Linked DNA regions of Macaca mulatta. Each later gene encodes a partner of the first gene's protein in a complex. Links are inferred from orthologs where the notes say so. Each region holds a gene or a part of one and is shown in the gene's direction. Other genes may lie near its edges.

The links. The genes of interacting proteins can lie anywhere in the genome.
Region 2: RIPK3 (region 1) and AIM2 share a complex: the UniProt entries of both Homo sapiens proteins name them as parts of the AIM2 PANoptosome complex. The link is inferred for Macaca mulatta from reciprocal best matches to the Homo sapiens genes RIPK3 and AIM2.
Region 3: RIPK3 (region 1) and ZBP1 share a complex: the UniProt entries of both Homo sapiens proteins name them as parts of the AIM2 PANoptosome complex. The link is inferred for Macaca mulatta from reciprocal best matches to the Homo sapiens genes RIPK3 and ZBP1.

Annotation. Positions count from the first base shown.
Region 1 is NC_133412.1:97,453,709-97,462,193, reverse strand, and holds RIPK3 (receptor-interacting serine/threonine-protein kinase 3), read left to right. Parts: upstream 1-3,038; 5' UTR 3,039-3,257; coding exon 3,258-3,277; intron 3,278-3,486; coding exon 3,487-3,627; intron 3,628-3,761; coding exon 3,762-4,071; intron 4,072-4,523; coding exon 4,524-4,669; intron 4,670-4,795; coding exon 4,796-4,842; intron 4,843-5,049; coding exon 5,050-5,217; intron 5,218-5,327; coding exon 5,328-5,395; intron 5,396-5,610; coding exon 5,611-5,985; intron 5,986-6,125; coding exon 6,126-6,186; intron 6,187-6,700; coding exon 6,701-6,921; 3' UTR 6,922-7,071; downstream 7,072-8,485. Other genes in the region: ADCY4 (adenylate cyclase type 4), read left to right, coding at 7,658-8,104. UniProt on the Homo sapiens protein: Serine/threonine-protein kinase that activates necroptosis and apoptosis, two parallel forms of cell death. Necroptosis, a programmed cell death process in response to death-inducing TNF-alpha family members, is triggered by RIPK3 following activation by ZBP1.
Region 2 is NC_133406.1:107,849,250-107,856,993, forward strand, and holds part of AIM2 (interferon-inducible protein AIM2), read left to right. Parts: intron 1-1,161; exon of another isoform or gene 1,162-1,295; intron 1,296-4,341; 5' UTR 4,342-4,361; coding exon 4,362-4,623; intron 4,624-6,512; exon of another isoform or gene 6,513-7,744. UniProt on the Homo sapiens protein: Sensor component of the AIM2 inflammasome, which mediates inflammasome activation in response to the presence of double-stranded DNA (dsDNA) in the cytosol, leading to subsequent pyroptosis.
Region 3 is NC_133415.1:110,406,831-110,414,983, reverse strand, and holds the end of ZBP1 (Z-DNA-binding protein 1), read left to right. Parts: intron 1-842; coding exon 843-1,046; intron 1,047-2,384; coding exon 2,385-2,603; intron 2,604-4,025; coding exon of another isoform or gene 4,026-4,096; exon of another isoform or gene 4,097-5,142; coding exon 5,143-5,390; 3' UTR 5,391-5,552; downstream 5,553-8,153.

The DNA of each region.
Region 1 (8,485 bases):
ATTTTTTTTTAAATCTTCTTTGTGCACATCCATTAGAAACTTCTTTAGGAAAGTGACTGTTCGTAGTAAACTCAGTTTTCATTTATTTGAAAATGTCTTTTTTTCTTTTTTTACCTGTCTGTAAATATAAAATTGTATACACACCAAAGTTATCTTTTTCAGGAACACTTTTCCTGTCTTTGAGCACCTTAAATTATTTCAACGTCTTCTGGTTTTTACTTGGCTGTTGAGAAGTGTATTTCCAGTTTAGTTACTGCTGCTTTGTAGATGATCTATGCTTTCTTTTTAACCTTTAATGTTGTTTATTTGTGTTCACTGTTCTGCAGTTTCACTGAGGTATAACTAGAGTGAATTTCTTTATATTTATCCTTTTTGGCACAACTATATTTGTGTATATTTGACTTTTTATATTTGCTCATTTATTTATTTAGAAACAGGGTCTTGCTCTGTTGCCCAGACTGGAGTGCAATGGTGCAATCATAACTTACCATAACCTCCAACTCCTGAGCTCAAGCTCTAACCCTAACCCTAACCCTAACCCTAACCCTAACCCTAACCCAGCTCAGCCTCCCAAGTAGCTAAGATTACCAGAACTGGCAACCTTTTATTTTAATTTTTATGTTGTAGAGATGGGGTCTCACTATGTTGCTCAAGCTGGTCTTGAACTCCTGTCCTCCAGTTATCCTCCCACCGTGGCCTCCCAAAGCACTGGAATTACAGGTGTCAGCCACTGTGCCCAGATGGATCCTTGTCTTTCATCAGTTATTGAAAATTGTCAGTCATTTTTTCCTTAAATATTGCCTTGCCCCATTTTTAATTTTTCACTTCTCTTCTCATGGGATTCCAATTTAACATGTTAGACCTACTCATTCTTTGTCTCTTAACTTTTCTATTTGCTCATCTTTGCTGCATTCTGGAGAATGTCTGCAGATTCATCTTTCAGTACACTAATTCGTTCTTCAGCTATATCTTCTGTTTAACCAAAATCTACAATTTCAATTTTAATGGTTACATACATTTTTTATTTCTTGATGTTTTATTTTTTGTAAATATATCTGGACATTGTTTATGATCTCTAATGCCTTGCTCTTTTATTTCTCTACTCTATTTTTTATTTCTTTAAACATTTTACAATAGCTTCTTTAGTTTCTTTATCTGATTATTCCAAACTCTGAGTTTCCAAATTCCAAGAATCAACCTGTGCCTAGGTCCACCCCCACACCCCCTTGCTGGAAGCTGAGGGTCCTGTTAGGCACTTACTCTAAGGTTCTTCTCCCTGCTCTTCCTTCTTTTAAAGGGGCTGTTTATTTTGAGTCAAAAAGTTGTATAGGCCCTGATACCACACCCAACTTTGTGCTTCACAGTAGTTTATCCCTGATTCTCAGGGTCTCATACCAATCTGAAGAAACCTGGTTATAACACCTTTCCAACTCCTTTTTGCCTGCTTCCTTCAAGTGGAGATACTGAGCCTGGGTTATTCTCTCCAAAAAGAATCACAAAGGGAGTGGCTACCCCTTTTGATGGTTCTCAGCTTCTGACTCTAGGCTTTTCTGAGGACCTGCTACACTTCTTGCCTTCTTGGATTCTGTGTGATACCACCATATCTCTATACTAAAGCCTACTTCAGACGGATTTCATGAACTGTGCAGGTGAGAGCCCTCAGTCCCTATAGGAACCCGATCTCCTCTTTCCTCCTACTGAGTATGGAGCTCCATCTAGGATGATCAGTGCCTTAAAAGAGGCTTAATATTTTTGGTTGTTCATTTATTCATTCAATTCAACAAATATTTATTGGGTATCTGCCATGTATTGGCTTTTAAAGAGACTACAGTTGAACAATTCCCTAAATAGCTCCAAAATAGCATGAGCTGACCCTACCAGAAGCCATGGTGTAGCTCTCCAGGAGTTGTTCTAGAAAAAACTGCTGATCACTTCTGCCTCAACCAGAAGAGCCCATGGACCACTGGACAAAATGGAAAGCAAGTACCAAGGTGAGCACCTTTTAGTGAAAGCCAACACACAACCCACAGGGTTGAGTATCCCTGTGAAGGACTGAGTGCCTAGGGCTGGCCCTATCGGGTTCCCACAACCTCCAGTCATGGTCAGACCTCCAAAAGGTAAAATATGGACACCTTTTTTCTGCCCTAAATCTTTAAGACTCTCCATGCTTCTGGGTTATCAAAAGCCTGTGTCCAGAGCATGTGCTTGTCAGGAACATTAATTAGGGTATTTGCATGCAAGAGTTGTCATGCAAAGGAGAGGGCAGGAAAGCTCTGAATTGTTTCCACTGCAGTGTACACCACAATGTCACCAACTTGCTGGATGGGCTGGTATATCTAGCCTTACCACAATGCCCTTGGAGTGGGTTTGGGGTCTGCCAGCTCAAGGAGCTCCTGTTCATAGGGCATGTAAGTCCCTATGAACATATAAGTCCCAAGGAATACAAATAGGGATCCTTCACTACATCGTTGGATGCTTCACAACTTTCCCAGCCTCCTGCAGGACCAGCTGAGTGGTCCTGCAACCTGTGTGAAAACAGGTGAAACCTATGTGAAAACAGCCCTGAAACCTATGATGTGAAAACAGGATAACTTGATGGTTCAGAGCCATTATTTCCATATGGGCTTAGGCAAGGTACTTAAACTCTCAGTGTCTCAGTTTCCTCATCTATAGAAAGGTAATAAAAGCAGTACCTATCCCCTTAGGGTTCGTGTGAGAATTAAATAAGCTAATCTATGTACCTGGTGCATGATAAGTTTTATATATGCATTGGCTATGATCTTAGGGCAGCTATGAGAGAGCTGAGCCCCAAAACCATAAAACCTGCCTAAGCACCATCTCCACTCATGGCCTGGCAGGTGGTGGAGCAGGAAATCCTGTGGGAAAAGAGAAGGCTTTGACTGTAGGAGTGGGTTGATTGTGGGTTCCTGGAAGGTGAGGACCCATTGCCACACCTAACCTGGCCGCTGCATGCGGCAGGCACTCAGGAAACGCTAGTCAGGGAGAAAGACACTAGCTTTCACTTTGCCCCCTGCCCCACCCCAGGGGCGGGACTGTAGAGGCGCCTGTAAGGGAAGTTGTTCAGTCAACTCAGAATACGGGTAGCAACCCGGAAAGTGGAGTCACCGTCCTGGTCTAGAGACTGATCCCTGCAGAGACAGATCCCTTCCCCTCTCTGCCAAAGACCGCAGCCCCAGAAGTCATTCCATCTCCTACTGCTCGCAATCTCCAGAGGCCCCCTCGCACCTTCCAGCCTGATGTCGTGCGTCAAGTTATGGTGAGTAGGGAGTGGCATGTCGATCGCAGCCTCCGACATTCACACCCAGAGCGCCCCACGGACTCGCTCAGAGAACGCCTTTGAGTCTGGAGACGGTGGGGGCCGGCGAGAGAGGCCGGGGATTGCAGTAAGAGCGCCGAGTCACAGGGGCGCGGGGAGCAGCGCTGGCGTAGGGCACTGCCGGCTAGTGGGCGACACCCCTGTCTCAGGCCCAGTGGTGCCTCCGCCTCCTTGGTGTCCATCGAGGAACTGGAAAACCAGGAGTTCGTCGGCAGAGGCGGGTTCGGCACAGTGTTCCGGGCGCGATATAGGAAGTGGGGCTACGATGTGGCGGTCAAGATTGTAAACTCGTGAGTGACCCCTGTTGCCCCCCCGGCCGCAATCTGGCCAAAAAGGTGGAGCCACTGTGCTCTGGGGCCTGAATGGGGAATGGAGGGATTTTTCCCACGACCCCGGGTGACTCCAGCTCTCTCCTGGAGTGTAGGAAGGCGATATCCAGGGAAGTCAAGGCCATGGCAAGTCTGGATAACGAATTCGTGCTGCGCCTAGAAGGGGTCATCGAGAAGGTGAACTGGGACCACGTGCCCAAGCCGGCTCTGGTGACTAAATTCATGGAGAACGGCTCCCTGTCCCGGCTGCTGCAGCCCGAGTGCCCTAGGCCCTGGCCGCTGCTTTGCCGCCTGCTGAAAGAAGTGGTGCTTGGGATGTTTTACCTGCACAACCAGAACCCGGTGCTCCTGCACCGGGACCTCAAGCCATCCAATGTCCTGCTGGACCCAGAGCTGCACGTCAAGGTCAGCTGCTCTACACCCCTCTCAGCCTCAGGACAAGGTCCCACCCCAGAGCAGCTCCAGCCAGGCCCACTGGACACCAGACCTCCAGAGCCCTGTCTATTGAATAGGCGTAGCCTCTCCCTCTGGACACAGGGCTGCCAGGGCACAAAGCCCAGCCAGGAGTTTTAGCTCCTGCCATACCAGGTGATAGAGGCCCCGACCCACACGAGTCATTTCCACCAGCTGCCCCACCAACCCCTCCAAAGAGTCATGGCTGACCCAGCCCTGGAGACTCACACCTTGACCCAGCCCTACCACAGGCACCTAGATCTACTATCCAAGGGAGCCTCTTCCCTTGACCTCCACACTCCCTTTACAAAGCTGAACCTGAACCTTCTGGGGGCAAGGGGGTTTCTGGAGGCTGCCTGGCCCCCTTGTCTTCCCTACCTCCCACTTCTTTCCTTCCTTTGCAGCTGGCAGATTTTGGCCTGTCCACATTTCAGGGAGGCTCACAGTCAGGGACAGCATCCAGGGAGCCAGGGGGCACCCTGGGCTACTTGGCCCCAGAACTGTTTGTTAATGTAAACCGGAAGGCCTCCACAGCCAGTGATGTCTACAGGTAAGGATCCCAGCCCAAACACACAGCCGGGATTCCTACACTTCTCTGGGCCCTCCCAGGGGGTGATGTATAGGAAAGGAGTCTTGCCAGTGATTGGACTGGTCCTCAGCTTTGTGTCTCCTGCAGCTTCGGGATCCTAATGTGGGCAGTGCTTGCTGGAAGAGAAGCTGAGTGTAAGACTCTAGGCGGATTCTGGGATCCTTAACCCCAGGTGCCCTTCTCTTGAAAGCCCCAAAGCTTCCCCTTCCTGCTCACCTACTAAGACTGCCCTCCTCCATCCTTGTGCTCCCACATTACACTCCCTGCCTCTTTCCATGATGGAGCAGATATTCCCTTTTACCCTGAATGCCTTCTCTTCTCACCCTCCTCCCCTACTCCAGTGCCAACAGAAGCATCACTGGTGTGTGGAGCAGTGTGCAGGAGGCAGACCCGGCCCTCATTGACTGAGCTGCCCCAAGCTGGGCCTGAGACTCCCGGCTTAGAAGGACTGAAGGAGCTAATGCAGCTCTGCTGGAGCAGTGAGCCCAAGGACAGACCCTCCTTCCAGGGTGAGCTGGCCAATTAGCTGGATCTGGGGTAAGCTTGGGTCTGTCAGCATGGGGCTTTCCTCAGGAAAAGAAGATTTGCTCACCTGCAACCCACTCTGCTGTCCCTCTAGAATGCCTACCAAAAACTGATGAAGCCTTCCAGATGGTGGAGAACAATATAAATGCTGCTGTCTCCACAGTGAGCGCCAACATCACCCCTCTCCAGGAGCTGGTCAGGGATGGCACAACATGGCTACCTGGCCATCCAATGACTCACCATTAACCACAGCTTTTTTATGCCTTGACCTTTGTCCTCACCCTCCCCAGCCCACCCCTGAGTTCCAAGAGACTACTCCCTTGGGTTTACTCTGGCTCATCCAAGTCATACCCAGCAAACTCCTCCCATCCCTGCAGGTAAAGAATTTCCTATCTGAGCTCAGGAGCAGCAATCCGAGATTTTCTACCCCCGAGTCAGGCCAAGGAGGGACAGAAATGGATGGCTTTAGGAGAACCACAGGAAACCAACACTCTCGTAATGATGTCATGGTTTCTGAGCTGCTAAACAAACTGAATCTAGAGGGGTCTCCCAGCTCTGTTCCTGAAAAATACCCGAGCCTTACCAAGAGGAGCAGGGCACAAGAGGAGCAGGTTCTGCAAGCCAGGACAGCAGGGACATCTTCAGATTCAGTGGCCCAACCTCCCCAGACTCCAGAGACCTCAACTTTCAGAAACCAGATGCCCAGCCCCACATCAACTGGAACACCAAGTCCTGGACCCCAGGGGAATCAGGTGAGACATTGGCAGGATTAGGGGATGCACTAAGAGTCCTATAAATGCTGTCCCCTTGCCAGGCAAAACTTGGGGCTGAGAGGAGTGCACTGGGCGGTCCAGGCTCCAGGACAGAACTGGATGCTCTGTGATGTTTGCAGGGCGCTGAGAGACATGGCATGAACTGGTCCTCCAGGACCCCGGAGCCAAATCCAGTAACAGGTACCCACTCTCCACCTCTTTCTTTTCCCTGTTCAATTCTTCCATGAGACTCCTCCTCCAGATCTATATCTAGATTCAGGGTACTTTCTGGAGGCGAGGGGAGAAGATGATCTAACTCAACCTCATTTCATAAATGGGAAAACTGACACCCCCTGAGAAAGGAGCCCTCTGAGGTCACACAACGAAGCTTGGATTTTTCCCTGAGTTTTCTAACTTTCCACAGCATCAGCTCTGTGAGCCCCCTAAGTTCCATTGTTTCAGCAGTCCAGAGGACTTCCCAGCAAAAAAGATCAGGGTCTCAAATGTCAATTGCTACTCTCTAGAGCTTCTGCTAAGCCAGTTCTGGAGAGGAACTCTGAAGGGAAGGGCACAGGACACACCTTAACACAGTCATTTGGGTGACCACTCCACTCAAGGCCAAGCTGGGGGTGGAGACCTCATACTCCCCACCCACCCCCAACTTGGCCTTTCTGACAGCTAAACCCTCCTGCCACCATCACTATTTCTCTTAAAGGGCGACCACTCATTAACTTACACAACTGTTCTGGGGTGCAAGTTGGAGACAACAACTACTTGACTATGCAACAGACAACTGCCTTGCCCACAGGGGGCCTGGCACCTTCGGGCACGGGGAGGGGCTGGCAGCACCCCCCACCAATAGGTTCGCAAGAAGGCCCTGAAGAACCTGAAAACTGGAGCGGGCCACATGGTTGGTATAATCATAGTGGAAAATAAAGCACCTTCAGAGCTTGCCTCCAAGAGTTAGGAGTTAAGGAAGAGCGCCACCCCTTGAGGCCCCTGACTTCCTTCTAGGGCAGTCTGGCCTGCCCACAAACTGACTTTGTGATCTGTCCCCCAGGAGTCAATAAACATGATGGAATGCTAGCCAAAGTCTGAGCTCAGCCAGGGGCCGGGAGGGACTGGGATGGGGGTGGGAGCTGCCAGTGAGGGATAGGGAGGCACCACAACTCTGCTATGGCAGGAAGCGGGGATGCTGGGGGCTGGGAGTGGGCAACGGCCTGGCACACAAGGTCAGGGCACAGCCGGCTACAACAGGAAGGAATCCCAGAGGCCTGGTTCCCCAGACCACTCTAATCTCAGGGCAGTGCTTCCTTTAAAGCCTAGGATGGCGACCCCACCCTAACCCTAAACTCTGGGGATAGAGGCTGTGGTCCCTTTTCTTCTGGGCTCTCAACTCAGTTGCAGCGCTCTGGGAAGGGATGAGTGGGTGTGAAAGATCACAGACCAGGCCCCCCACGGTGCCCTCAGGTTCTTAGAGATCATGAGGTCCCATACCTGCCTCCACCACACACTCAGGTTGCTTCCTAGACATTGCTTCCCTTTTGATTCCCAGCTGCTCTTCGGGAGTGGAAAGCTATGGCTCCTAAAGCTATACACACGCGCACCCCCTCCCACGGAACAGTTCAAACCTGGTAGTAGTGGTTGCCAGCCAGGCGGAGAGACGAGGAGAATGAGCGCCCCCCGCTCTGACCTAGATCCCCACCAGGACTCACATTCTTCCCTACATTCTCGCCAGGCTTCAGCCCCCCGCCCTCAGTCTCCCCACTACCAAACGTTCACCCCCATTTGGCCACACCCTATTCGGTCCACCCCAGCCACCCCTTCGCATCTCTCCCAGGGTCCACATTGCCCTTCCCTGAAGGGGCTGAGGCGGGAAGGCGATGGTGTTAAGAGAGACAAAACCAAGTGCGGGAGGAGACCAGGGGAGTCCGGCTTCGGCACAGGAAGGGGCCGGGCTGTCCCGTCGGGGAAGTGGGAGGGGGGCCGCGGCGCCTGGAGGGAAGCTCCTGTCGCCCGGGACTCTGAGCCAGAGCGCAGCGGCGAGCGTGACTCCGCCATCAGGTCCCCGGCTGCCTCCCTGGGCCTAGCCCACTCCGCTGCGCCAGCGACGCGGGCAGTGAGTTCGGGGGACAGGGGAACCCAGGGCTCCCTCGCACCAACCCCAAATCCTGCCCTCCTGGCGATGAAGCTTTGCTAGGGCACCTCCACAATCCGGGCACGAGGGAGGAGGAGGAAAGGACTGAGGGATCCCCTCATAGCCAGCTGGGAGCGGGCTGGGAGGCCGCAGGGAGGGCCTGAAAAAGGAGACGGGATTACCACGAGGTTTGGGGGCGCGGGGAGGTAGCGGCTTGGAGCGGGTTAGAAAAGCTCAGGTGCGGCCCGCCGGGCCGAAGGAGGTAACCCGGCGCCCGGCCCTAGCCAGCCTCGGGACTCTGGGCGGGGGAGATCATGGCCCGCCTCTTCAGCCCCCGGCCACCCCCCAGCGAAGACCTCTTCT
Region 2 (7,744 bases), on another chromosome or scaffold:
TGTCTGTTTCCATGACTTGGCAGAGCTGCTGAACATCTGGAACTTTGTCTTACTAACTTTTATATTCTCAGAATCTAATACATCGTATTAGATGTTCAGTGCATAATTGTTAATTCAATGAATAAAAAAGGAAAACCTCAAGTAAATTGCAGACTAGAATCAAGCCCTCAAGCTCTGAGTTTAGGGTTAGGAGCCTGGTTAGGAAGAAAGACTGTATATATGCTTTTGAGGCAAGCAGTCAGTGAGGGAATGAGGCACGATTACTTGCATGTGGCTACAAGCAATAAAAATGGGGTCAAAATGGTTAGCAGAGGGACTGCCCCACTAGTAGACAGGAACTGTTACAACAGGCTATGACAACGAAGACAGATTGCAAACTTCCTACTTAGGCACAGATGAGAATGTAACACAGAAGAAACCGGCTGCAACTGGTTAAAGCCAAGATGGTCGAAAACTTGGCTGACTGCTGACCCTTAGCTTCATTGTGCCTTAATATCATAAAACTTCCATGGGGGAATTCCCACTCCCATCATGCACCTGACGCCATGACAGTTCTGGATTAACCATCTTTAGTCAAGAAAAGGGTGGCACCCCGATTCTGGGAATTGCCCGCCCATTTCCCAGAAAAGCCTTCCTTTTTATCATAGAGTACCCCATACCTTCATTGTGCTTATTCATGTAGTACATGAACCGCATTGCCTGTGACTCAATCTTTGAGTGCCTGCACTCGTCCCTTGAGGGTATCCTTGCTTTTGCTCCACAATAGAATGTCTATACTTTCACTTTGGTCTCATTTCCAGATTCTCTTATGCTTTGAAGACAAGAAGCTGCACTGGCATACTGGCAATGCTTGTAGATACCCTCTGAGATCAGTGTGCTTGTTTATACCAGAAAAAAATGTCATCACCAGGCCCCTTAGTCACAAAGCGTATCACTAAGTCATCTTCGGTCATTTTTTACAGTTTCCTAGCCACTTTCTGTTTCCAATCAGTGTAACTATGTGGCATGACTCAGATACAAGTTTCTATAGAAATTTTCTTCTGTGGCTGCTAGTGAGAACCCAAACCAGCTCAGCCAATGAGAGCTCCAGTTGTCACTCCTACCCACACTGGGCCTGCGGGTGACAGGAAGTGTTTATTAGGGGTACGTGTGAAGCTGTTCAGAAGTGTCAGAGTCTTTGTGGCTTTGAAAGTCACGTAGGTTATTTGGGCATGCTCTCCTGAGCCCTCTGTTAGTTAAGCTCTCTGAAGAGAAGGTGGCAGACCCGGTTTGCTGATCGCCCCAGGGATCAGGAGGTAAGCACCATGGAGGAGCTGGGTTAGAGAGGAGAGACTGAACCGTTTCTCCGCTGAAAAAGACAACTGAGGAAATGCCAGCCATGCTATGCACCCCTCTGAGAACTTGAACCTGGGAAAATGGACATGAGCTCTGAAAGGATGGGTTCATTTATCTTTTACTCACTTTAGCCATGTCCTCTGGTGTCTCTGAGCTGGTGTTCCTTAAGCTTCAGATCCCGTTGGGGTTTATCTATCAGCCTGTTTGTAAGACTGACTTTTATGCCAATAGCAAATACAAGCATTTTTTAAGTTAACAGATATTATGAAGTAAAATGCAAGTTTTTCATTTATAAGACAACGTAACTTCAGAGAAAATGATGAGTCAATCTTATTAAAATGTGATTAAAATGTGATTGTTATTATATAAGAGGCTTATAGGAAGATTAGTTTCTTATAGACAAGTAGGAAAGCAGGAATCATGCCAAGCTGATTGTAGATAGTCAGCAAAGGTAGTGTCCTTCCTTGCTTTCATCAGTAGGACGGGGGCATTTGGATGGCTTTATCATTACAAATATTTTTAATGTATTTATTATTTTGAAAATGGTCCTGATAATAGTTTTAATTTTCACTCATGAACTCTACATGTATAAGTAGAGTTTGTCCAGCCCTTACCAGCATATAAGGAAAAACATTATGAGGCCATTAACAGTGATAGTTTAGAATTTATTAACATTGACTCTACTGATGGTGGTATTCAAGCTTCCCTAAAATTCACAATCAGTTATTTTCAGCTCATAGACATCTTTTCCTGTTCTTCGGCTTATTTCTTCCACTTTATATGTTGCTGCTCTGGAAGTCATTAATTGCTAATAATGTCAAACATCTTTTTTATGTTTATTGGATACTTGAGCAAATTGCTCATTCACATCTTTTGCACACTTTTCAAATAGACTGTTTATTGTTTTCTTAGTGATACATGGTTCTCCATGTATTCCAAAAGCAAAACTTCTATTAGCTATATATATATATATGTATATTTCAGGTATCTGCCCAGTTTTTGCCTTATATAAACACTTTGTTTAGTGTGTGTGTGTGCACGTGTGTGTGTGTTTCCTACAAAGAAATTAAGAATATGCATGCAATCACATTTGACAAAGTTTGTTTTTTTTTCTGGCTTGTCCTTTTTGTGCCTTGTTTAAGAAACCTCCTTCTACTTCAATGTATTGAGAAATTCTGTGTTTTATTCAACATCATTACTATTCTGTTTAGATAATTAATCCAGCCAGATATATATTTGTGTATGATATAAGAGAAAGGCCAAATATATCATTCCCCGAATATTATCATTTGACTGAATACTTTTTATAGTTGGCCATTCTTTCCTTGTGATTTTTAACGCCACTTTGATTATGTACCATGCTTTAACTTACATGTGGTCCTGTTTCCACACTCTATTTATTAGTTCATTTTTCTCTATGCAACTGCCATATCGATTTAATTATTATACATTTGTAGTAAGTATTGATACCTAGTAGTAGGGATACTACATCCTAATAAACAATTCAACATGTTTTGCAGGTTTTTGTCTTTATTTTTTTCATTTAGGTTTTAATATCATTCTGATAAGTTCTATGAAAAACCCTTTGAGATTTTGGATGGGAGTTTATAGATTAATTTGACAACATTGCTGTCTTCATTTTATCAAGTTTTCCCATTTAAAATATCACACATACACCCACTTAAGTAGGTCTTTTAAATCTCCCAATGAAGTTTTATAAGGTTCCCTTTAAAACTCTTAAATATATTGTATTAGATGTTCTTATGTACTTTGTAGTTTTGTTGCTATTGGAAATTACTTTTTTACGTGATTTTTTTCACTCTTGGAGTGGTGCTAGAATAAAGGAATGCATTTCTGCATATTAATCTTATAGTTACAAACTTTTGAATTATTATTTATAATGTTTTGTGTATTATTTTGGATACTATACATAAACAACTATATTACTACAATGTGATTTTGGCAACAAGATACAAAAATAGGTTGATGGACAGAATAAAGAATCCAGAAATAGACTCACTCATATTTGGACAACTGATTTTTGCAAAGGTAAAAAAAATCGTTAAAAAGGATAGTCTTTTTAATATACGGTTCTGGGAAATTTCATATTCATATGAAAAATAAATGAACTTTGAGTCATTGCTTATACTATATACAAAATAACTCAAAACGGTACATACACCCAAATAAAATGATTAAACCATAATATTTTTAGAGGAAAACATAAAATCTTCTCATCTTGAGATTGGAAAAGATTTCTTAAATAAGACAGTGAAAGCATGATCCATGAAAGAACAAATTGATTAATTGCACTTCATCAGGTATATGTATATGCCAAAATTTATCAGATTGTATACTTCCAATATATGCACTGTGTTGTATGCCAGTTATGCCTCGATAAATCTATTTTAAAAATAAAAGGAAAATGTATCCTGTTTCCTTTTTGTTGTAGTGTTTTTTTTTTTTGTTTGTTTGTTTGTTTGTTTTGAGACAAAGTTTTGCTCTTGTCGCCCAAGCTGGAGTGCAATGGCGCGATCTTGGCTCACTGTGACCTCCGCCCCCTGGTTCAAGTGATTCTCCTGCCTCAGCCTCCTGAGTAGTTGGGATTACAGGCCCCCACCACCACGCCCGGCTAATTTTTGTATTTTTAGTAGAGATGGGGTTTTGCCATATTGGCCAGGCTGGTCTCAAACTCCTGACCTCAGGTGATCCGCCCGCTTTGGCCTTCCAAAGTGCTGGGATTACAGGCGTGAGCTACCATGCCCAGCTGATGTATCCTGTTTTCTAAGAATTCCAGAGGTGTTGTATACTTTCTGAAGATGTCTTTCCCAGGAATAGGGATCACCTTGCTTAAGAAGTTCTTACCTATGTCCCATTCAAATCTCTTTTACTACTGCAAACATTTTGTTTATTTTTCTTTAAAAATATTAATAGCTCACCTTGCTTTATTTTGAATGTAGAATCCCTTTTGGTGTTGTAATCTTACATGCTTTGGATTCCTTATAGGTTGATCCCAAAGTCGTCAGATGGAGAGTAAATACAAGGAGATACTCTTGCTAACAGGCCTGGATAACATCACTGATGAGGAACTGGATAGGTTTAAGTTCTTTCTTTCAGACGAGTTTAATGTCGCCACAGGCAAACTACGTACTGCAAACAGAATACAAGTAGCTAACTTGATGATTCAAAATGCTGGTGCAGTGACTGCAGTGAAGAAGACCATTCTTATTTTTCAGAAGTTGAATTATATGCTTTTGGCAAAACGTCTTCAGGAAGAGAAGGAGAAAGGTAATGTGGTAGTCCCGCACCTGCCCAGTCCCTTTCTCTGCCAAGCCTGGGCCTTTCCTTTCATGGCGTCCCTGGGATATGACCCCCAGTGCACACTGTTGGAATTTGTTTGCTAACTTAGTGCACCTGTCTCTTTGCCCCCTTTTACTGAGAATCACTTGTAGGAAGTGTTTGTTACAAATTCCACAAATCCATTCCAGCCTTGGTTTGCATCTCTTGTTCCAGCCTTTAGGGTGACCACTTCCATTTATCATCTTTTCTCCTTGCCCATCTTTGTCTCCAGTTCAATTACAGTGAATATGGATGTAGAATTTCAAAGTTAACTTTTCCCAACTCCATTTCCACAGTATGTAATGCTCTCACATTCTACTGAAGTCTCAAAAATATAAATTATTGCATTGGAAAATTGTAAACCAGGATATTGAGCACCTTTTTTTCCTTCACACAGTCTGTTTATTTCTCTCCATGTCCCTATCTTTCTATGGTCCCAGACTATGCTGCTTTCTTTAGGGGATGATCTCCTCCTTCTTCAGGGAGGGAGAATCCTCCTTCAGGGATTCTCTCTCCTCTCTATCTCCAGTGACAGTATAAATTACCCACAGCAAAAAGACTTTTTTAACATTATTCAATAAATCACTCATCATCTCCATCTGAATTATATACATTTAGTTTAAATTCCTGATTTTGTTTACCAAGAACAATTGATACGTCCCGGCTTCATGTCTGAAGAACAAAAAAGAGCTAACAAAGGAGCATATCACTCCAGGACTGTCCCAAATGAGAGTCTCCAAATGCAACAGTTTTAGGATTCAAAGTAAAACCGTAACAGCAAAGATTACAACAGCTTTTAATAGCATTTGTGGGTGTACAACACGGTGACATGGCTTCTCACACATGGTTTATAAGAAGGTTAAATGAAGCCACATAAGTGATACTATGTAGGTCCATAATTCTATACAGATGTAAACTGTGAGGTAGTTTCTAAGGCACTAATGAGAAAGGAGTGGTTGTTTTCCCAGGCTTTAAGTTAGAAGGTGTAGTTCTTTAAGATGGCCCTTAGATGGCGGTAACTACCCATGTTACTTCCATGTAACCAGCTGCCCTGTGTTTCTTATCTGGGATGAGACAGGAATCTATTGGCAAACATAGGCTGAGATATTTAGAAATATCTTCTATTTTGGCAATAAATCAAGAATTAATTCTTCTCTTTGACCAGGATAGCACAAAATTTCCCCTTCTACAATCTTCTCCCCATTTTGCTGTTCTAATGATTCTGGGATTTTGTTATTCTACTTAGCTAAAAAAGATCCAGTTTGGGACTAACTTGGAGACTCAGGAGTAGATCATCCAGAGGCTGTCCCAAATGAGAGTCTCCAAATGTAACAGTTGTAGAATTCAAAGTATGCTTTTGGGCCAGGTGCAGTGGCTCACACCTTTAATCCCAGCACTTTGGGAGGCCAAGGCAGGTGGATCACTTGAGGTCAAGAGTTCGAGATCCGCCTGGTCAACATGGTGAAACTTTGTCTCTACTACAAATACAAAAATTAGCCAGGCATGGTGGCAGGCGTCTGTAATGCCAGCTACTCAGGAGGCTGAGGCACGAGAATCACTTGAACCCGGGAGGCAGAGGTTGCAGTAAGCTGAGATCATGCCTCTGCACCCCTGCCTGGGCAACAATAGTGAGACCCTGTCTCAAACAACAACAACAACAACAACAAAACACAAAGTATGCTTCCTGCATGCTCTACAAGAAGGCAACTGAGTTCCTTCATCGCTCTCAAATTCCATCCGTGGACATACTTAGGCCTCTTTTGAATGTAGGAAATTTTTGTGTGTCCATGCTATTTCTATTATTGTATGAAAAACTTTTGTTTCATTTTTTTGAACAGTTACTATCATTCTTGGTTAAGTGATCCTTCTCTGTTGCCATGGCATGTCTGCATGTAGAGTGCTATATGCTCTTCTACTCACAACCTCACCCCATGGAAGGTAGAAGATACCTGGAGAATCTTTAATGAAGACAGAGGCAATAATTAGTAGAGAGGAGAAGCTTTTGTATGAAGCAAGATGAGAAAATACAAGGATTCATAAGCATAGAAAAAGGAAGCAAAGAGAAAATGTGATCACAGTCTACAGAAGTCCTGCAAGATTAAAATAAAATGCTGAAAATGATAAATGAGATAATCAGTAACAATGTCCACCTGATTATTAAGGCAAATGAGAGATTTATAGTGGGCAGACAAGCTTGTCCACAAATATTGGTACCACTGTGTGTGAGATGAAGTATGGCTGATGTGATGTGGTAGAATGGTAGGTTGATTCCCTTGGCCTCCTTGATGCTGTTTTCTCGCCAATGCTGTGAACATAGAAGAGACTTTATCTGCATACCTTTCTGAAACCAGTTGCATGGAACTAACTTATCATTAGAAGGTTAGTGTAACTTCTTTCTAGAGCAGAGATCCTGCTACAATATCCCTGTCAGACAGTCAACCACTTTCTGATCTTTGAAAGGTAATGACAGAGTACCTACTACCTCATAAAACAGTATCGTTTCTGTTTTTAGTAAAATCAAAGTGATTGCCTTGCTATTTCAGCCCAGAGTTGTTCAAATTCTATCAGAAATGACATCTAATAATTTCTCAGGCCCTCTTCTGCCTGAGAGTGCCTTAAGTCATTAAACACGACCATCTTGTTACATGGTCTTTTTAAAAATCAGGACTAGGAGTTGGCTTTTCACAATAACATATAACCTGACCATAGATGTGGAGGAGCCCAGCCAAAGTATACAACTGCATTTTGTAGGCATTAGTGAGGAGCCAACATGCCACCCATCCATCCATTTCTTCATCCATTCAGTAAATACCTATTGAATTGCTAATAGGTACAAGGAAAGCTTTTAGGTTCTTATGATAAAACAAGGTGTTAAAAACAAATCCAAATTTTATACAGCTTATATTCTAAAGGGAAAGTAGATATTTTTCTTACAGGAAAATTTATGAATGTAATTAATTGAGACAAATGCTCTAATGGAAAGGAAGATGGTTCTTCAGCAGCATGTGTCAAAGGAGCATTAACATAAGCCACGAATTAGAGTTGGTGTTGGTCAAAGTGGGTTCCATAG
Region 3 (8,153 bases), on another chromosome or scaffold:
CACAGTATTTGTTCTGAGACACGCAACTTTCCCCCACATTTTAACAGGCTGGAAACTGGGGTGCATCTCACCACCTGTGCTATCCTGGTTTGGATGAAATGAGGTGTTGCACTTTGAGCCCTTACCCTGTGCTGGGCACTGTGGCAAGAGGGAACAGAGCCACCTGTCAGCCCAGCCTTGTCACCTGTGAGTGACAGCTTCAGCCCCAAAGTCGGGACACTCCCTGTAACCTTGGGAGAACCTTTCCCCTCTGTCAGCCTCAGTTTCCCCAATTGTGAAACTAGGAACTTTGTTCTAGAATCTAGATCATAGTTTCCCCAGCTTTAATCCTCTGAGCCCCACATTCCCGATTCTGGCCATACCCATGTCTGATTATTTAATTAATGTTGAGTAGTGCACATTTTTAAAATTTTATTTTAAAACAATTTTATAGTATTATTTTAAATGAAAACCATTAAAATCACCATAAAAATAAATGTTGTCCCTGGCAGTTAAAACACTGCAGAAGGCTCTGAGCCTTTGGTGTTAGCACCAAAGGAGACTTTGTCTCTATGAGATCAGAAGGCTCGGGAATGACAGAATCAGAACGAGGAGCTCATTGTTTGGGTTTGTGAGTGTCCCTGCAACATCCAGGCACCAGCCCCAGTCCTGAGAACCCAGGGAGCCCCAAAATGAGCTATTCTGCCAGGTACTCTTGCTGTCTAAGCCAGAGCCTGAAGTCTTTGGCCCCCAGTTTGATGGTGTCTAGGAAGAATTCAGAGGACAGGACTGTGGGTGGTGGTGAGGAGGGGGAAGAAGCCTGCAGTAATCTCTGGTGAGGCTGTGCCACTGTCCCCTGCCAGGTTCTACTGGTCCCCGCCACCTCCCTTCAATGGCACCAGGTCATTCCTCAACTCAGGGGACCCTGAATGATCCCTGGGGGCCCCAGGACATCCACATGGAGCGGTCCATGCTCAGACGGGTGCAGCTGGGACACAGCAATGAGATGAGGCTTCACGGCGTGCTGTCCGAGGGCCCTGCCCACAGCCCCCCTGGCAGCCCTCCAGGTAACTGGGGATCTAGAGGCCAGACCCACCCCTGTCACCCCGTGGGTCCTCACTGGAAGGAACTGGAGCCAGAATCTTTGTGGGCAGAGAAGCATGATGGGAAATTCCTTTCCTTCCACCAGGCAGCTGAACCAGAGCAGAGCAGGTGGGGTTTTTAAAGCTAGCACTCTAGGCTGGACACAGTGGCTCCCACCTGTAATCTTAGCACTTTGGGAAGCCAAAGTGGGTGAATCACCTGAGGTGAGGAGTTCGAGACCAACCTGACCAATATGGTGAAACCATGTCTCTACCAAAAATACCAAAAAAAAAAAAAAAAAAAAAAGTACTGGGCATGGTGACATGTGCCTGCAATCCCAGCCACTCAGAAGGCTGAGATAGGAGAATTGCTTCAACCTGGGAGGCAGAGGTTGCAGTGAACGGAGATCGCACCACTGCACTCCAGTCTGAGTGACAGAGTGAGACTCCATCTCAATAAATAAATAAATAAAATAAAGCTAGCCCTCTGGATCCCCATCCCCTACAACCCACTGCAGGAAACCTCAGTTTCCCCATTTGTAAAATGGGCAGAGAAGCAGAGGCTGGGCCAGCTGGAGTAGGGTGATGGTTTGATACTGGAATGGTGTTTAGGGAGGTTGGAAGACAGGTGCCCTACTAGGTGCTGTGGCTGCAGTGACCAGAGGGCCCCGGGCAAAGGCCTCCCCCGCAGTGGGAATGCAGAGATGGGCTGGGGGAGAAGAACCAGCAGGGAAGCCAGAGAGGGAGGAGGAAAGCAGAGGCCCCGGGAAAGGAGTCACCAGAGAGCGGCCAGGCTGGCGAGCCCAGGGAAGCATCTGTGGGGTTCAGCGAGAGGGGTCGTGGTGACCTTGCGGGGGTGGTTTCTGGGAACCAGGGAGCAGAAGGGGTCTGGGGAGTGGAGGAGGTGAGACTCAGTGTGGATGGTTCTTCAGAAGTTTGGGTGGGAAAGGGCAGAGCCAGATGACAGGGGCTGGGGCCAGGCTGGGAGCCCCCATAAGATTTCAACCAAAAGTGGGGGCCAGTGTTCCAGTGCAGTGGGAAGCAGGCAGCAGAGGAGAGAGGAGCTGAATCCCAGAAGACACTGGCGTCCAGATCAGCTGGGCAGGATCAGTGGGGCAGACCCACCAGCTGGTGGAAAGACGCTTCCCAGGCAGCCCAACAGCACGTGTGGAGGTGTGGTGGGCAGGCACAGGCTGTGCGCCTGGGATGGTGTGGGCCGCTGGTGGGAGGTCTGGGGAGGAGGGTGAGTCAGTCTGGGGGTCAGGGCTCCGGGCCACTATCCAGCTGCTCCTGGCTCCAGGCCTGTCTCCCTTTGACCCACAGTCTCTGCCACTGCTGCCGGCCCAGAAGCTTTGTTTGAAGCAAGAATGCCCAGTCCAAGAATTCACCCCAAGGGGGATGCCGCCCAGAGAATCTACATGAAATCATGCTTTCTCGAGGATGCCACCATCGGCAACAGCAACAAAATGTCTATCAGCCCAGGGGTGGCTGGCCCAGGAGGAGTCGCAGGGTCTGGAGACAGGCAGCCAAGGGAGGACGCAGGTGAGCTGGGGTACCGAGTGGACCCCTGTGTGTTCTCTTTCTCTCCCCACCTTCCACTCATTCATTCATTCATTCTCATCAATCATTCGCTAATCTCTGGTTTCCCAGAGTCTGGAGGCAATGCTCACCCATAGCGAGGAGCAGCAGCTCTACAGTCAGAGCTCGAGGCTCCGTCCGCCTAGTGGAGGGGCCCACCCAAGTCACTTCACCCGGGAGCCTCTGTCTCCTTAGCTGGAAAGTGGGATGGTAAGAATAGCCTGAAGCAACCCCTACAGTGGTTGCAAGGCTGAGATAAAATCTGAAGGCAGAGCTCAGCCCTGCACCAGCCCTGCCAGCATTCAGGAGATAGGAGTGTTATTGCTGTCATGATTGTTTTGGGCCCAGAAAGGTGCTGGGTTGCCATGCAAATAAGGTTCTGCATCAGGGCACAGGCTGACCTGCCGCAGCAGAGACGCCACACATGGTGGCCCCGCCTGCTCGAAGCCCAGGTCTCATGTCTGGGTGAGGGTAGCAGACCAGGGATTCTTTTCCCTCAGGGATGAGTTGTCCCTGGGGCTCTATCCTCATCTGTGGGGTTGAACTTGGCACCAGCAAGCAGAGGGGCAAGACAGGGTACAGAGAGCCGCTGTTGTCTTTGACCAAGCCCACCCACCGCATCTGCGCTGTTCCGAGGGCCAGCACTTAGCCACGGGGGATCTGGGAAGTGCCGCCTGTGTCGAGGCAGCCTAAGCTCAGCAGAGACTGAGGGGAGGGGCTCCACTGCCAACAGGAAGAGGGGAGAGGGGACACCAGCGCGGTTCACCTTCCCAGCCACAGTTCTGCCCCTGGAAGCTGCACAGGCTGGTTGCAGAGCCCGAGGATCCCAACTCTGCAGAAGGGAGCTCGGGGCCTGGGGTAGGGGCAGCTGGAGAATAGGGCAGGTCCATACAAGGTGGATCCATACAGGGCAGGTGTACCTGGTGGGTGGAACAGTGTGGACAATGGCCTGGAGGTGAGGACATGACAGTACAGGAACCCACAGGGGTCTGAGGGTGACCTGAGTGTGGAGAGCAGAGCCAGGGTCTAGCTCCAGGCGGCAGTTGATGCTAAGGCAACTGGGAGCCATGGGGGCCTTAAGCAGGAGAGGGGCAGGATGAGATTTATGCCTCCCATATGAAGAAAGAATTAGAAGGAGGATTTGCACTCCTACCCTTTTGGGATCTGGAATAAGGGGTCACACCCAATCCCACCAGTGGGTAGAAAACGTGGATTCACAGAATCTGGAGGATTGGCCAGCATCCACCTTCCAGTGCCTGAAGGCCCAGGGGACGCATGTCCTGGAAGTCCAGAGGCTCTCCTCACCCCAAGGGCCATGTCCTTGCTGTCCCGGCACACTGAGGAGACCCTGGCCCCACGTGCCTTGCCTTCAAACTCTCCCTCCAGGACCCCTGGGAGCCCCATGTGACACCTGCGGAACGGGGGCCAGGAGCACAGGCCAGGAGCACAGGCCATGAGCATCTGGGAGCACGGACTCCCTTCCAGCAGCAAAGGGAGTCTCAGAAACCTCCAAGGCCACTGGGCACCCCCAGGAGGGCGTGTGCCACCAGTCCTCCATCCCCCACCTGGCTTAGGACCCCACAGCACAGGCCGTCTGCAGAACCCTGTGGGTCTCAAGCCAGACCACTGAAGACTCCTTTTTCTGGAAAGAACACAGCTCTGTGTTGTTAAAAAATGACCACACGCCCAAATTTGTCCTGCCACATCCTGACATTCTTCTCTGAGGTTCCAGCAGAGGAGCTGATGACATTCTTACCCCTTGTCCTGACCCACCCACCTCTCTTTGTCGCCAAGAGACATCTATAGGCATAGCTCAGAGATATTATGGGTCAGCTCCAGACCACCCCAATAAAGCAAGTCATGCAAATGTTTGATTTCCCAGTGCACATACAAGTTATAGTCACACGAGGCTGTAGTCTATTAGGTATGCACTCAATCACATTGTATCTAAAAAACAATGTATATACCTTAATGTGAAAATACCTTATTGCTAAAAGTGCTAAACATCATCTGTCTTCTGCCAGTCATCTTCTCTATGCTGGTGGAGGTCTTGCCTCGATGTTGATGGCTGCTGACTGATCAGGGTGGCAGTTACTGAAGGTTGAGGCAGCTGTGGCAATTTCTTAAAATGAAGTCCAACAATGAAGTCCACTGCAGCAATGGACTCTCCCTTTCACGAAAGCTTTCTCTGTAGCATGCAATGCTGTTTGATGGCATTTTACTCATACTAGAACTTCTTTCAAAATTGGAACCAAGCCCACCAACCCTGCTGCTGCTTTACCAACTCGGTTTATATAACAGTCTAAATCCTTTGTTGTCATTTCAACAATGTTCGCAGTATCTTCACCAGGAATAGATTCCATCTCAAGAAACCACTTTCTTTGCTCATCCGTAAGAAGCAACTCATCTGTTCAAGCTTTCTCATGAGATTGCGGCAATTCGGTCCCATCTTCATATTCCATTTCTAATTCGAGTTTTCCTCCTATTTCCACCACATCTGCAGTTGCTGTCTTCACTGAAGTCTTGAACCCCTCAAAGTCATTCATGAAAGTTGGAATCAACTTCTTCCAGACTCCTGTGAATGTTGATATTTTGACCTTCTCCCGTGAATCACAAGTGTTCTTAATGGCATTTAGATTGATGATTTTTTCCAGACAATTTTCAATTTACTTTGCCCAGATCCATCTGAGGAATCACTCTGTATTGCACTTATGCCTTTGTAAAATGTATTTATTGAAGAATAAGAAGTGAATGTTGAAGTTACTCCTTAATCCGTGGGCTGCAGAATGGATGCTGTGCTAGCAGGCATGAAAACAACATTAACTCTTTTTTACATCTCCATCAGAGCCCTTGGATGAACAGGTGCATTGTCAATGAGCAGGAAAAAAACAAACAAACAAACAAACAAACAAACTTTTTTTTTTTTGGCCTTTAGCCCAGGATCCTGAACACCCAGCTCCTGTGGTATGGACGATGAGCAGTAAAATGTTCAAAGGAATATTTTTTTCTGAGCAGTAAGTCTCAATGCTAGGCTTAAAATATTCAGTAAACCATGCTATAAACAGAGGTGCTGTCATCTAGCTTTGTTGCTTCATTCACAGAACACAGGCAGAGTCGATTTAGCATCGTTCTTAAGGGCCCTAGAATTTCCAAAATGGTAACTGAGGAAAGGCTTCAGCTGAAAGTCACCAGCTGCATTAGTCCCCAACAAGAGAGCCTGCCCCTTTGAAGCTTTGAAGTCAGGCATTGACATCTCCTCTCGAGCTATGAAAGTTCTAGATGATATCTTTTCTCAATAGAAGGCTGTTTCGTCTACATTGAGAACCTGCTCTGTCATGCAGTCGTGCTCATCAATGATCTTAGCTAGAGCTTCCGGGTAACCTGCTGCAGCTTCTCCATTAGCACGTGCTGCCTCACCTTGTACTTTCACGTTATGGGGATGGCTTCTTTCCTTAAACCTCATGAACCAACCTCTGCTTACTTCCAACTTTTCTTCTGCAGCTTCCTCACTTCTCTCAGCCTTTAGAATTGAATAGAGCAAGGGCCTTGCCCTGGATGAGGTATAGGCTTCAGAGACTATTGTGGCTGGTCAATCCTCCATCCAGACCACTAAAACTTTCTCCACACCAGCTGCAAGGCTGGTTCACTTTCTCATCACTCATGTGTTTGCTGAAGTAGCACTTTTAATGTCCTTCAAGAACTTTTCCTCTGCCTTCACAATTTGATTAACTTTTGACCTAGCTTTCAACTTGTCTTAGCTTTGGGCCTGCCTCTCTCACCAAGCTTAATCATTTCTAGCTTTTGATTTAAAGTGAGAGACATGCAACTCTTCCTTTCACTTTAGCACATAGACGCCATTTGGGGTTCTTTTTTATTTTTATTTTATTGAGATGGAGTTTCACTCTTGTTGTCTAGGCTGGAGTGCAATGGCGCAATCTTGGCTTACTGCAACCTCCACCTCCCAGGTTCAAGCGATTCTTTTACCTCAGCCTCCTGGGTAGCTGAGATTACAGGCCTGCACCACCACACCCGGCTAATTTTGTATTTTTAGTAGAGACAAGTTTCTCCATGTTGGTCAGGCTGGTCTTGAACTCCCAACCTCAGGTGATTCGCCCGCCTCGGCCTCCCAAAGTGTTGGGATTCCAGGCATGAGCCATGGCACCTGGCCCATTGTAGGGTTATGAATTTTCCTAATTGCAATATTGTTGCGTCTCACGGAATAGGGAGGCCTGAGGAGAGGGAGAGAGAGGAGGAGACGGCTGAGCAGTGACAGGTCAGAACACATAGATTTATTAATTAACTTCATCATCTTATACAGGTGATATTTGTGGCACCCCAAAGCAAAGCAATTACAATAACAACATCAAAGACCACCAATCACAGACCACCATAACACATATAATCAAAATGAAAAAGTGTGAAATATTGTGAGGATTACCAAAATACGACATAGAGACAGGAAGTGAGCATATGCTGCTGGAAAAATTGGCACTGATAGACTTGCTCCATGCAGGGTGCCACAGACCTTCAACTCATGAAAAACAAATGCAATATCTATGCAGTGTAATAAACCAAAGTACAACAAGGCAAAGTGCGATAAAATGAGGTCTGCCTGTCACTTCCTCCTTGAGTGGCAGGCAGGACCTTATCCTGAGAGGTGTAAGGCCTGGAATGTTTTTGTTTTGTTTTGTTTTGTTTTGTTTTGTTTTGTTTGAGGAAATTGCTGATCAGAGACTGTCAGTGCCAGGGCATGGAGAGCCATCCTTTGGGGCCCCTGGGAGGACTGGGAGAGCCCTGGGATGGGGGCTTTCTGGTATCATTTCTGCTCCTCCATTTCACTGCTGTGAAACTAGGACAGGACTGGCTACATGATCTGGGGGCCCAATGCACAGTGAAAAGGTGGGGCTCCCTGTTCAAGACTTAGTACAAATCTAGACAGTAACAACAAAGGCTCAAGCTGAGCTTGAGATCCTTCCAAGAGCGGGTCCCTGTGGAAACGCCCAGGCCACGCGCCCATGAAGCTGACCCCCCATCTTCTCTTCCCCAGGTCCTCATCCCACAGACACACAATCCAGAAGTCACTTTCCTCAAGACATTGGTCAGCCCATCACTCGAAACTCCTCGAAGCTCACCCCCAAGCTGGAAGCTATGACTCTTGGAAACAGGAGTCACAAAGCTGCAGAAGGCAGCGACTATGTGGATGAAGCCTCACACTAGGGGAGCTGGTGGGGAGGTGGGATTTCATGCACAGCCTCACGTGGGGCTTGGACACGTGGGGGTGGGTGCATGCTAGGGACACTAGCCTGCTGCTCTCTGCATTCCTTAAGTGTCTTGTTTGTCCTGCTTGCTTCCAGACATAACCTGCATGAGTCAGTTTTGGGGGATGGACCTGGTGTGGGGATGAGTTCGGGCCAGGTCTTTTGACGGCCAGGAGCAGATGACAGGGAGTTGCTTTGGGGAACCCTTGGTGTGCCAAGAGGAGGTGGGTAGATGGGAGTGGGGCTCGGTAGCCTA